2 linked regions of the Lepisosteus oculatus genome follow. The protein of the gene in region 2 purifies or fractionates together with the protein of the main gene of each other region. This does not show direct contact. Links are inferred from orthologs where the notes say so. Each region holds a gene or a part of one and is shown on either strand. Other genes may lie near its edges.

Region 1 (6,863 bases), on a different chromosome or scaffold from region 2:
ACAAAAGGACTGAGAAATAAAGTATGACTAACATATCAGCTATCCCGTGTAATATAATATACTGTTCTTTTCACTTTTTGTGCTAAAAGCTATTTTAAAGTTAGAGCCTTTATAAGTTTGAATGCAGCCTAATTCCTTATTTCTAACAGGGAAAAATATCATTTCACTCTTCTTTTCTTTGTCAGAAGTCATTTTATGTTGATGTTCATCTAGGTATTTTCAATTCAAGTGCCAGTCATTTTAGCTATAAAACAACCCCCTGCTCTTTCCCTTCCTCCTGCAAAAGGTTCCTTTTCCTCTGTTTGACAGCGAGGCTGCCAGGCAGTCCTATTTCACACACAATTGGACTGTTATTTAATTGCCTGTGAAAGAAGTGGAAAAAAATGGCTGGTATTTTAAATTAGTTTTGAATTTGGAACATTAGTAAGGCTTACTTGTAATGTTAACTTCTTCTTTCCCATCACCATCAATCCCTAGTTACAAGCAATGAGCCATTTGCCATTACAAAGATTGTTAGCAATGCCCAGGTTGTGTAATTACCTGTGTCAATTGCAATGATTGTCTTAGGTGTCTACCGATTCATCACTACATAATCCAATAGCTTTTAAGCTGCATGGGATCTTATTAAAGTGGCTATGTCTATGGGGGCAGTGTTTTTAACGGTCTTTGTTATGGAATATAAATGTCCCATTAACAGACTGATTGTTTACATGGTTATCCAATGTTGCAACCAAAGTTTCCTGTTGAAAATAATTTATTTTTTGTTTGCACCTCACAAGTATGAGCAGAAATAATTTTAGATGCTATTTAATAACTTTTAATAATGATAAAATTGCAATTACTTTTGGCTAAGGATCTGTGCCTGTGGCTGGAAGGTTGTCGGTTTGTATCCCATGGCCAGCAGAGGAATCCTATTCTGTTGGGCCCCTGAGCAAGGCCCTTAACCCCAACTGCTCCAGGGGTGCTGTATAAATGGCTGTTCCTGTGCTCTGACCCCAAGGTTCTCTCTCTGTCTGTCTGTATGTCCATGGAGAGCAAGTTGGGGTATGTGAAAAGACAAATTCCTTATACAAGAAATTGTATTTGGCCAATAAAGTGATCTTATCTTATCTTATCTTATACTGTTGGTGAAAAACAATACACAGATTTTACCGCAATGGTAAGGAAGTACACATTTAATAAACAATACATTACCTCCAGTTGTGTTGAAGATTTTTCAGAGAGGCAGGGCTATGACACTCTCCTCACCCCAATCATTTTTCCCATCATGCATGTGGCCCAGGTCATGATCTGCAAAAAAGTAAAGCTCGCTCCCACATTGCAGACGTTGCATGACTGTTTTTGGCAGAGTAACAGATTCTGCTCCTTCCATGGCCAGAAAATCTACCACATTTGTCTCAGATTGAACATTTGTCGAACAAAGTGATTCAGTGTCTTACTGCCTAGTGAACTCTAAACAGATATTTATGGATTTGCTGAGGAGCTGATCAACATTTGGAACACTCCAGAAGCAGTCAGCATCAATAACATTACAAATCACTGCTATAAGGTACTTGCAGTCACCAATGCTAATGGTGGCCCAACAACATACTTACTGACTTTGTGATCTGCATTAGCACCATCCATGTCATGTGTTATAGGGACCAAGATATTGGACTTAGATTAGGACGTATGCATTTTTTGGGGGAAAGCTTCTTACATTAACTTATTCTCTTGTATATCGTATATCTCACAATACAATTGCTATTTTCTGCAGTTTCTTTTTTATGGTAGTACAGTACATACGGTAGTCTATATGACTCTCTCTTCTAAATACCCCAACACATATTTTATTGTAGTTAAGTTGCAGTTATTCATTACTGTAATTTAATGCAAGTAGATTAAACTCATTTGCAAAATTAATGACTCAAAAATATTAATAAGTTTAATCTTGTTATTATTGAGAATCGTCTACAAAAGCATAGGAGCTGTTCTCAGAAATCATTTCTGGGAGTTTTTTAAGATTTATACACCACCATCTTTTTCCTGGAAAGATCAACAGCCTGGGGCATCAGTTTCTAAAGTTTCTATAGAAGAAAAATAATAGACTAAATTAAATAATTAAATAAATAACTATCAAATTACATGTTGACAGCCAAGGAAAACCAGTAGGTTTATGCTTCACTGGTGTACACTAGGTTTATCACACTCTACTGTGGAGCATGTGCAGTGTTATGGTAGATTTTGTAGTGCTCAAGCTCATCACATCTTAAACAGAGTTAATAGGGTCCATAGCTATATTGTTTCAAAACTCAGGATTTCTCAAGTTTGCTCCAGCCTTGAATGAACTTCTGTTGGTTGGAAATGCACTTCGCGAATTGCAAAACATTTGCAAATGCATGTAATTTCTTCAGTTTTGCAGGAGACCATGACCATGATACATTGTTTTCAATGAAAACTGCATCTGCCCTCCTCTCACATTTTGTTTTTTGTGAGAGATAGCCAATCAATCCACAGAGTAACCAGGAAAATATATGCTAGATATTTTGCAATTCCTACCAATGTGGTCATTAGCTAGAGAAGGATCATTTTGTTACCTGTTGTGGGCACCAACATGTTTGAATTCAATCTTATTCCATTTCATTCTCTAATGTAAAACCAAATGGATGTACAGTAAAAATGCTTCCTAATTTAAATGAAGAACAGGGAATAGACCAAATTTAAAGCAAATAATTTTATTTTTAAGTGGTACAATACTCTAATAATACTTTCTCTAATAATACTGCTGAAAAGCCAGAACTATATGGAAGTACATTTTAAATCAAAAATAGAAGACACGTCTTTACACAAAGGGTTGTGGGAGTTGAGGAACAAGCTACCAGACATTGAAGCTAATACCTAGGCCCCTTTTAATAAAGGCCTGATAGATCAATTAACTGCTAATACGGCTACCATTTGTTTATAACTAATCTTATGTCCACTGGAGCCGAGGCTATAATCCCATCTCCTACCCCCATGGACCCCTCCATTACAGTGTATCCATGGATGTTCACATAGTGTAAGTAAAAAATATGAAACCAGCACTCATTCATTTCCACAGTCATTACTTATCCAGCTAGCCTGAAAATTGCATATTGAATAGTTGAGAATTCATGTTTTGCCTAGTTAATAATGTCTGAAAAAATGCGTGACCACTTTGGATTATATTCTTATATAAAGTTATACAGGAAATTAGTATTTTACTTACAGTATATTGCCATATATATATATAATATCGTATATATGTGTGTAAAAAGGTACATTGTATAAAGTTAGGCTGTCCTGGATGTCATCATGAAATGCATTACTTTTTGGTAACACAGATATGATCTCAACAGTCTAAACATAATTATGAAATCTAACATCAGCAACATAATAATAGTTTAATTTTGAGTACTGGTGAAGACACTTAGCATGATGAAAACAGTTACGCCGGCGTTGTAAACTATAACAGTTTGCAACACTATACGCGCTAGGCCTATCTACGCGATAGAACTAAGTTGTCGAAACTGGTATCGTTTTTAATTAATACAATTTTGAGTGCAACGAAGCCCAGAATTGACACCAGATTTTCCCTAGTCAAGAACACATCCACACGTCACGGAGGGAACAGAGGGGCGGGAAGGTTACTGTACTGTCTTCCTTCTTCCGGCGGTGCCGGCCGGCTTTCAACACTCCGCACCTGATGAGCTGTACCATCCTGGACTCAAATATTTTTATTTAATACATTTCATAATTACATATTTGTGGAAAATAAAAGAAAATCAAACACATCTATATATTTTAATGAAGGGGTTATTTTCATTATTTTATGTGAAATAATAAAGACGAGATGAGTGGTTCCGGTCGCCATCTTGTCGCCTGGTGCTGTGACTGAAGAGGAGGGTTTGTTTGGGAATAAGTGTGCATTTCAGGTGTATTATTTTTTTTAAATAAACCTTTTCCCGGTCAAACAGTATGTCCAAAAGGCATCGGTTGGATTTAGGCGACGACTATTCTTCTAACAAAAAAAGATCGTCCTCTGACTTGTAAGTTAATGGTGTTTTTTATTGTTTGGGTCCGGGAAGATGGGTTATGCATCTCGGCGCCTTCCTCGGGTCAGCGAGTACTGTGCAATAGCAGTCTCGCTCACCGCTGTTTTCCTAAAATCCGAGTTTAATACTCTTGGAATAATACGCTTGGAACGTATTATTTAAAAGTTAAAGTGGCTTTAATTTACCAAGACGGGATTACAACACGTCTTATTTTGTTAGACATGTATTTTGTTACACGTGGGATTCTCTTGCGGCCTGTATGCGGTTTGCAAACAAAATGCTCGTCTTGCATCGAGTTTTTAAACTTGCAGAAAGCTTTTTAAGTCAATCGTGTCCATTGTAACACTGAGGGGTTACGATATGCGCCGCCTCAGTCGTGTTTGTCCTTTGCTCAAATGCTCTCTCAACACGTGTTGGTAGCTGCAGTTGTTGTTGCAGACGGTATGTGATTGAGAGCCTCCAGCCTGTGTAGGTTTCCGTGCAAATATACGTTTTGGCGATTAGTCTATGATAAGTAAGTCTGAGGCATGTTTTTAAAACTTCCAACAACAATGTTTAGTTTGCGGTGGGCCGGCATGCGGTGAACATGGTTTTCTTGTGACATCTGATGATGATGGTTTATGCCTTTATGGCCTTATCCTCGGTACATCTCGGTAGTGTTAATGCAACAGCCTTGCTATAAACTAGTGGCAGCTTAAACGGGCGACGTTGGCGTGGTGTAGCTTATTTTATATTTTCTTTTTGTTTTGTCACTGATTACGTTGACGCTTATGAATATATTAGAAATGGACCGCCAAAAGTGTGGATTGTTGTAGTGGGCTGGGGGCACTGGTCTGCTGAACGTCCCAAACAACAGGCTGATTCACTTGAATATGTACTGAGCGTGAAAACAAAATGGATCATTCTGTTTTTGCAAAGCACATGAATTTTGGATATTGATTGTTTTGGGGGCATTAAATGAACCGATCTTGATGATTTCGTTGTACAAGAGCTACATTTCTTTATTAATGATAGGGGGTGATTCAGCCTATGGAATCCTTTGTGAATTGTTAAAAAGCTAGGAATTTGCCAGTCATTTTGAATATTTCATATTCAGTCCAGATTAGACTAAAGTAATGAATGTTTGCAAGTGGCACAGATGTGCAGATCTAGAGCAAAGTCCAAGTTTTGTGGTCTGGGCAGGGGTGTTGCTATGGAGTGCCTCAAGCAATTTTATCACTAATTTGCCACATGGCATTGTAAGACCTGCGACCTCACTTGCTGTCCTTCCTGCATTCACATCCTGATATGACAAAATTCCAGAAGGACAGCTCACACATAAATCATATAACAAGTGAAGGTTTATTCCATGCTGAAAAGAGAATAAAAGAAAACACAACTTTTCGGCCGTGGAGCCTTCTTCAGGTGTGAGAGCCTGAACTAAATCATATAATAGCCGGCCTGAACTAAATCATTAATTAAACCTGGACTAAATCATATAACAGCTTTTTTGTGAAGTGGGAACATGGGAGATATGACATAGTTGCCTTTTCTACAGATTTGATGCCCATTGAACGTATATGGGGTGGCATAATGGCCCGGTGGTTAGCATTGCTTTCACTCACAGTCCTGGGGCCCTGGCTTCAATTTCAGACTTGGGGTGCTTTCTGTGTGGAGTTTGTATGTTCTCCCTGGCTTTGTGTGGGCTTCCTCTCACAATCCAAAAGCGTACTGATAGGTTAATTGGTTCCTGGGAAGCTGCACTGTGGTTTATGAGCGTATGAGTGTCTCTGTGTGTGCCCTGCAATGGACTGTCACCCCAGCTGGGGTAGATCCTGCCATAGGCACTGGCTCTCCCGCAACCCTAGGCTGGATTAAGCGGTTAGAAAAGGGATGGATGAACATATGTGGGATGAGTTAAGACAACATGGCAGGGAAGAGGCACATGCTTGTTCAAACCCTGAGAGAGGAATAGGACAGAATCCCACAGAATGTGTTGCAGGTGTACAGCTTGTGCTACTTCCAGTGGTGCCCCCACAACCTACTCGCTTGTGACTTTTACTGTAGACCCTGTGTTGATCGACTCTGGTGATGATGATGATGTATCGGCATAATGAATTTACCTGTGTGTCCAATAATATGTCAGTGTAGTTGCACTACAAATATTTTTGGTACCTTTGCAAATATGTTGTTACTAAAGGTTTCTTTTAATGCTTATTGTATTTGAAATGAAGTAGCCGATCTTAAAGAATTACACGCGTCCAGCTGTTAAAGCCTGAAAGGCAATGGCCACCTTTATGGCTGTATCAGAAAGCCATGGTCATTTTCTACTGTGGGAAAATGTTCTGCTCTTATTCACTCAAAGCACGTAGCTAGATTTTGGTTCCATCATGTACAAGGATCTTTTATAAATAAAATCTGTGATTTTTGAAGGTATCCCCAACACTACTCCCTGGAAAAATCGAAGATGCCACAAATTATAACGATTAAAAAAAAAACTTAGTAATGTTTCCACCTACTTTTAGAAGGTCTCACATCATGCCCACCTGTTTGCAAGGAATATTAAGATTTTGAATTCTGTGACTATGCCTATCATATGCACAGTTTCAAACTGAGGATATTATTGAATATTGAAGTAATAGGCCATTGATTGACAGCAGCATTTTGTTTGTCAATCTTGAATATTCTGTAAATCTGACCGTGTTGCATGCTAGTTTACTCAGTAATGCCAGGGGTCTATTTATGTAGTGTTTCCAAAATAAAGGTAAATTTAATAAATGTAACTACCAGTCTGATAGATCAAAAACTCTATATAAATGCTGGTAAAGAGTG
Region 2 (6,953 bases):
CACCCAGCCCCAAGCATTATTTCCCCTGACATCCTGAGGTCTTCAAAGGAACAAGTAATACGTTTATTCCATGCTGAAAAGAGAAGAGAGAAAACACAATGTTTCGGCTGTGAAGCCTTCTTCGGGCGTGAGGTCTTTCAAATACCATCAGTACCATTTTCAGCTCTAAATGCCTTCTGGGAATTGCCTCTCAGGCAGGGATAATGTAGGTGAGCAGTGTCTTTCACCGGTACCTCTGACTGCTGGTAGGGAGAATGATTTTTTCGGGTAAGATAAGACACTCCTTTCCAGTGACGCACTGGCCAACAGGCTCACACCAAGGCCGCAAAGATGACCAAACACTGAATGAAAAGAGCCACTCATACAGAACGATTAACATTAGAGGACAGAAAACGACAAGTGTGAGAGGAAGAGGTGTCAGGCGGGAGAGAATGAATCACACTGCGGAGAACATCCTCACATTCTGCTGGCTGCTGGACTCTGAAGTGACCAGTACTGCTATTGATTCTTAAACTAGGTGTTTTTCCCGTTAAAGATCCGTAAATGAATATGACCTCTTGAACTGTCTCGCCCGTAGTGGTCCTGTCACTACGGCCCCGCACTCGGACACGAGGGTCTCGCCCTGGTCCTGTTAATACTGGTGCCGCGCACTGACTCGGGGGTCTCGCCCTGGTCCTGTCAATAACGGCGCCGGGCTTGGACACCTCAAGAGTCCCCAAAATCCCAAACTCTTTTGTCAGCAGTATCTCAATAGTGAGTTCCTGTAAATACAGTACTTCCTCAGAAACAACAGGTACCTCAGGCTACAGATTGTAGTGCCCAAGATCTAGACCTTTTGCACACATTTCATTGTTAAATTTATCTTTAAAGTGTGCAGTTTTTAAATGTATGCTGGAAAAATGTAACAAGATACTTTTGATTTTTTTACTTCAGGGTTGGCAAAGATGTGTTTACTCGGCTCCCCTGAGATCTCTTACTGGAAAATCAAGCTTAATTTTCGCTACAGACTGCTGCTCCTCTGCCAGTCCTGTGTCTCCTGTCCTCCAGTCCGGCAGCGCCATGGCCATCAAGCCTTCAACGGGACACGTCTGTCAGCTTATAGAGCCGAACCACCTTTGAACCGTTGAATGTCACATGAAAATTACTGATCAACCCAAAAGTCTTTATATTAACCCTTCAGTCCTCTCCTGCCCCAGAGTTCATAGCGACAGGGCCTTAACCTAAAACCTAATCCTAACCCTTCAGACCATATTGTTAGGGCTAACTTAACCTCATTTAACCTTATTTTAATCCTAATTTTAACCCTAACCTTAACCATCAGAACATAAACTGTGAGGGTTTCAGTCGTTGGAAGGACAGTGCAGCCCTCTTTGTCCCAGGTGGTCCCCTTTTGCAGAAAATTTGAAAAAAGAGCTCTATTCCCCTATCCTACCCTTAAACTTAGCCCTACAGTCAACTGCAGAGCCCGTGATCCAGGGTCATCATCAGTCAGCATCGAAGTATCTTTGCAATATCTGCAGTCTAGTTTCCTCCAAAAGAAAAGTTTGAAAAGAGTGAGACGAGAAATCCTTACCTTTCAGAGCTGGTTCATCTCTGTTACACGCAGGGATTAAACCTGGAAAAGCCAGAGAGCAGGGGAAGACAGTCTTCCACTTCAGTCCAACAGCTTCAGCTGACCCTTTAAGTTACAATGAGGCCTTATAACATTCGGAGAAATGTCCATTCAGACATCTTTAGCAAGCCAAGACTTGTCTTTCTGTGCTTTCCTGTTTCCATTGCTATAGCAGCAATAAATATGCAACATGCAAAACCTGCTGTGTCTCTCCGATCTGTCTGGTTCTGTTAGCTCCAGGAGAACAGGGCTGCCTGTGAGCTCGGTGTTTCTGAAAGTCTCTGCTCAGGCCTCCTTTCCCCATCTGACTGACGGGGAAGAAGTAATCTCTTTGCCAAAATCCTGAAATACAGTCTAAACACTTTCTATAAACAGGCATACTGTAATACATATGAATTTTAAACACCTTTGTCCAGTGATTCTGATGCTGTCATATAAATGGAACTACTTGGATGGCTTTTCTTAGATACTGTTTTCAAGTATTTTATTTATATTAGATATTATTTATCACTTACAACTGCCCCACCTTCACAAAGTTATCAGAAACAAGTCGTGTGTTTTTGTAGCAGGTTCACTGACATTCTCCAGCACAGAAACAGTATCCATATATTCATGATGTGTTGATCAACAGTGAGTGTGTGGCCATCGGTGGAGGCTGCACAGATGCTGTGTTGTGGGATTCATTTCCATGACTTTAATGTACATCTCTGCTTTTACAACGAGGCATGACAATCCCATAGTGAGGATTTCATTTTTTTTACACTTCAATCTATAAAATACATCATCACTCTCAAAATATAATTATACAAAACTCTTCCTGTCGTTAACAAAGGCTGTAACATTCTTGTGAAAGTCAGGTTGTTATGTCCAAATGCACTGGCTCCATGCAGAGAAAAGTGGTGTCCAGTGGTTAGTCAATCCACTGGCCAGCAGCGCTGTCCCCATGCTGTCCACTCGGACACACAGTGAGAGAGCCCTCCCTGTACCTGTACCTGAACCTGTTCCTGTACCTGTACCTGTTCCTTTCAAATGAGCCGGATAAGGACAATGACATCCAGCATCTCGCAAGGAAATCAGCAGGAGCAATCTACCACAAAACTGAAACCAATCTGAGCAACGTACAGGTGGCATGTGAAAGGAGTCGGATCCTGGTACAGTACTGTCTTACTTTCGGATCAAGATATCGTTGACAGCTCTGACAGACAGGGAAACAAGTCCTGGAAATGATTATGTGACATGCAAGAGGCATTTACAAGGCCTGCAGTCAGATCCCTGGTGCTGCACTGTACGTGGAACACGTGACGTACTCAGATCATCAGTGCTCTGTCCCAGGAGGTCTTCCTCCATCAGCTCCTCTGGGTGGGTCATGATGTCGGACTTCAGGCCCGCGGAGAGGGGGGCTCTTCCCTAGAGGAGCCAGGGCCGTTCAGAGACATGATTACAACAAACACAACACGACACGAGATTATGACCCTCGACCCAGGCCTCTTCTTTTTGCCTCATGTCCGTCTATCGAATACTGCCGCCCCTCTCTCTGGATCACAGGGCTTCAGCTTCTCCCTGCAGTGGCTAGCACACCCCTCCCTACGTAAGCCTGTGTGCGAGCCTGTCTTTCCACGAAGTAACCCGGGAGTCACCACAATACTGTTGTCTTACCGTACTTGATTTTCGGACAACATGAGTACAACAAATTGTAATGTAGATTGGAAAATTAAAGTTTAAGCAGCAAAATCCTGGGTGGATATCAGTCAAGGCAGCATGGTGGCGCTGTGGCTAGCATTACAGTCCTGTGGCCCTAGGATCAACTCCTGAGGTGCTATCTGACTGAAGTTTGTATGTTCGCCCTGTGTTTGTATGGGTTTCCTCCAAGTGGTCTGGTTTCCTGCTACAGTCCAAAGACATACTGGTATTACTGGTAGGTTAATTGGCTTAAAGGAAAGTTGTCTCTGCTGTGTGTGTACCCTACGGTGGACTGGTGTCCCATCCTGATTATATCCCACCTTTGGCCCATTGCTTACGGGGATAAGCTCCCCTACAACTCTGGATTAGATGGTTAAAGAGTGGACGGGTGAATGGATAAGAAAGCTTAAATTGAATTAAAATTCTGTAAAACCTCTATGAGGAATACTAAAGGACAGTAACTGAAAATAAATAACTCAAATAATCATTTTTTAGTAATATTCCAACATTTTACATTCTACTTTCTATTTCATCAATTGGTTCTACCTTATCTCTATCTTACAACCCTGGTCGTATCGGTTACATTGCAATATTCGGGCACAAGAGTGAACACCATACATACGTCACTAATGCCAGCCGCGGGACTGAAAGGACCCCAGCGACACCAGCGCAGAAAATCGAAACTGGAAACTGAGGTTTTGCTTGTTTGCTTGTGGGATAGCGGGTTTGAATGCGACATAAGTATAGGGTTTCAGAAGTTAACTTCACATTGGGAATCGACTGTTCGAGACTGGGAGCTAAGGCTATGTGAGAGAAGCGGCTGGTAAGTAACGTGTTGATTTTGGAAACAGGACCCAGTGGGCACCCGATCGGAAGGAGAGTGGATCGCCTTACGATCGGTCAGGCCCGCTTAGTACTGAACCGAGCCGAAGAGAAGCAAGAGGACGTGGAAATCAGCACTCGTCTGCTTACGAGCCGGGTCAGCGAGGCGGGAATGAGACAGCTGGTCTAGTGGGACTACAGCTCCGTAACACGAGGTACCGCTTGTCTGGTTCGCACTTTCTCTGAGGTTTGCACTGTCGTCCTTGGTCAGGGTAGGACCAGGGCGGGTTCGCACCCGCGTTTCACCTTTAGATAACTAGTGGCTGCTCGGTTGTAGAGGGTAGTCAGTACCAATAAGAAGGTACGCTTCATGGGGATGAAGGTATGCGCTCGTTATTGCAGAGGAGAAAATGCTAATACAAATAGAAACGAGTTCTCCTCTTTCTAAATTGCTTCATTTAGCGATACTAATTTATTTCATTTATACTCATTGTACCACTGAGTTGCATTATTACTATCTTTCACTGACTAGTAAAATAATTTCCTTGTACCCACTTGTCGGCATGTGGAAACGACGGCATTCTTACTACAAGAAGGACAGAAATTATACGCTATAACGTGGGAGGTCCAATAAGAGTCCAATTATAATATTCAGAATAGTAACGGAGGGTGGATAAATGCTTATGCTTAAATGTAAGGAGAATTGGGAAGGAAAGAAACAGCCTCTACTGCATTAGCAGGTGATTCCACTGTTATGGAAGTGACAGATAAGTAGCTAAGGGAGTGTGGTGCTGGCCAGTAATGCAGTGAGTGGACAGAGAGAGGCAGGAAGGAAGGAAGAGCCAACCTACACTGTAGACGAGTGCCTAGTCCTGACCCTCTGATTCTGACTCTGTCATTCATTCGCCACACTGCTTGATTTCTGGCCATCCTGTGTACTCCCTTGTGTTAATTCCAGGAAGTACAGTGAGCAGGTTCCGTTTCATCTGGGTTTATAACTGGTCCTGTATAGCTTTCCAGACCTCTCTTTTGTTCTGTGTCGATTACAAAAGGATACAAATGTGCGAATAATACCAATAACCCTGGCGTATGAATACGAGTGTGGTACAAATGTTGTTTCACAGATGTGCTGTTTCAACATAAACACCCAAGTCTTTTGTATAAGCAGCTTCTTCAAGCTCAGTTTCTTGTTTTGGATTTAACGTTTACAGTTCTCAGTCCAAATGCGTTTCCATTTTCCTTAAGGGCAACCACCTGTGTTTTCAGAATTAATGCTTTATGAGGAGCTTTTTCAAAAACCTTCCGTAAATCTAGATACACCATATCCTGTATCTGTTGCTGCTGTTGTTTGTTCAAAGAACTCTGACATGTTGGTCAGACAATACCTGCCTTCCATGCTTAATCTATAATCCAAGTTTATTGGTCTATAGTAGCTTGGGTCAGTTTTGTCACTCTTCGTGTGGATGGGCTCTACATCAGCTGCTCTCCAGTCCCTGGTACGAGCCCTGTCTTGAGGGACTGTACTGTAACAGAAGTCAAGAGTTATTGGTCTATAATGACCAGTAGTTCTCCAGTCCCTGGTACGAGCCCTGTCTTGAGGGACTGTACTGTAACAGAAGTCAGAGTTATTGGTCTATAATGACCAGTAGTTCTCCAGTCCCTGGTACGAGCCCTGTCTTGAGGGACTGTACTGTAACAGAAGTCAGAGTTATTGGTCTATAATGACCAGTAGTTCTCCAGTCCCTGGTACGAGCCCTGTCTTGAGGGACTGTACTGTAACAGAAGTCAGAGTTACTGGTCTACAATGACTATATTGTCCAGTAGTTTTCCAGTCCCTGGTACGAGCCCTGTCTTGAGGGACAGCTGGAAGAGCTGTGTAAGTGTCTTCTGAATCACAACTGTCATGTCCTGGAGTACAGTTGCTACTGTAAAATACCATCAGTGCTGGGATTTATTCATCTTGAGGGCTTTTAGTACATGAATCTCTTCTCCCTCTTTCGTATTGGTCCTGTAAAATATAGCACTGTGGTCTGTACCTGAGGCTTTCTTTAGTAAATACCTGGGTGAAATACTCATTTAGTATATCAACCATTTCCCTCTAATTGTCTAGAAGTTTCCCATCTTTATCTCTCAGATACATGTTACTTTATCCTTAATGATTTTCTTGTGCTATTGAAGAGTGTAGCAATTATTTGGTTTAACCATAGCAATATTACTTCACCTCTCTTGGCAATACACACTGGTTGAGTATCTGGGATAAGAAACAACAAGGAAAAACAAACCCTGATGAAGTACAGGCTCAGTGATCACTACCTGGGCATAGAAAGTGGATAGAGGCACACCTGGCTGCCCAGAGAGGACAGGCTGTGTTCCCACTGCGAGCTGAGAGAAACAGAAGCATAATACAGCATATGACCTCCTCTCACAGCCCGAGGAACAGACAGTGAGCCTGACTCTCAATAATGATAATATTGTGTGATCTCCTGTCCCAGCCTGAGGAACAGACAGTGAGCCTGTCTCTCAATAATAAGAATACAGTGTGTGATCTCCTGTCCCAGCCTGAGGAACAGACAGTGAGCCTGTCTCTCAATAGTATTAATACAGTGTGTGATCTCCTGTCCCAGCCTGAGGAACAGACAGTGAGCCTGTCTCTCAATAGTATTAATACAGTGTGTGATCTCCTGTCCCAGCCTGAGGGACAGTGATCCTGTCTCTCAATAATAATACAGTGTGATCTCCTGTCCCAGCCTGAGGAACAGACAGTGAGCCTGTCTCTCAATAATAATAATACAGTGTGTGATCTCCTGTCCCAACCTGAGGGACAGTGATCCTGTCTCTC

Evidence for each region.
Region 1: the proteins of cmtr1 (region 2) and dhx15 purify together in Homo sapiens (co-immunoprecipitation; 3 studies listed by BioGRID and IntAct, with this or other methods). This does not show direct contact. The link is inferred for Lepisosteus oculatus from reciprocal best matches to the Homo sapiens genes CMTR1 and DHX15.

Annotation. Positions count from the first base shown.
Region 1 is NC_090696.1:62,447,437-62,454,299, forward strand, and holds the start of dhx15 (ATP-dependent RNA helicase DHX15), read left to right. Parts: upstream 1-3,861; 5' UTR 3,862-3,975; coding exon 3,976-4,046; intron 4,047-6,863.
Region 2 is NC_090697.1:30,581,579-30,588,531, reverse strand, and holds the start of cmtr1 (cap-specific mRNA (nucleoside-2'-O-)-methyltransferase 1), read left to right. Parts: upstream 1-3,930; 5' UTR 3,931-3,987; exon of another isoform or gene 3,988-4,115; intron 4,116-4,143; 5' UTR 4,144-4,329; intron 4,330-6,953. Other genes in the region: avidin-like, read left to right, coding at 934-967. UniProt on the Homo sapiens protein: S-adenosyl-L-methionine-dependent methyltransferase that mediates mRNA cap1 2'-O-ribose methylation to the 5'-cap structure of mRNAs.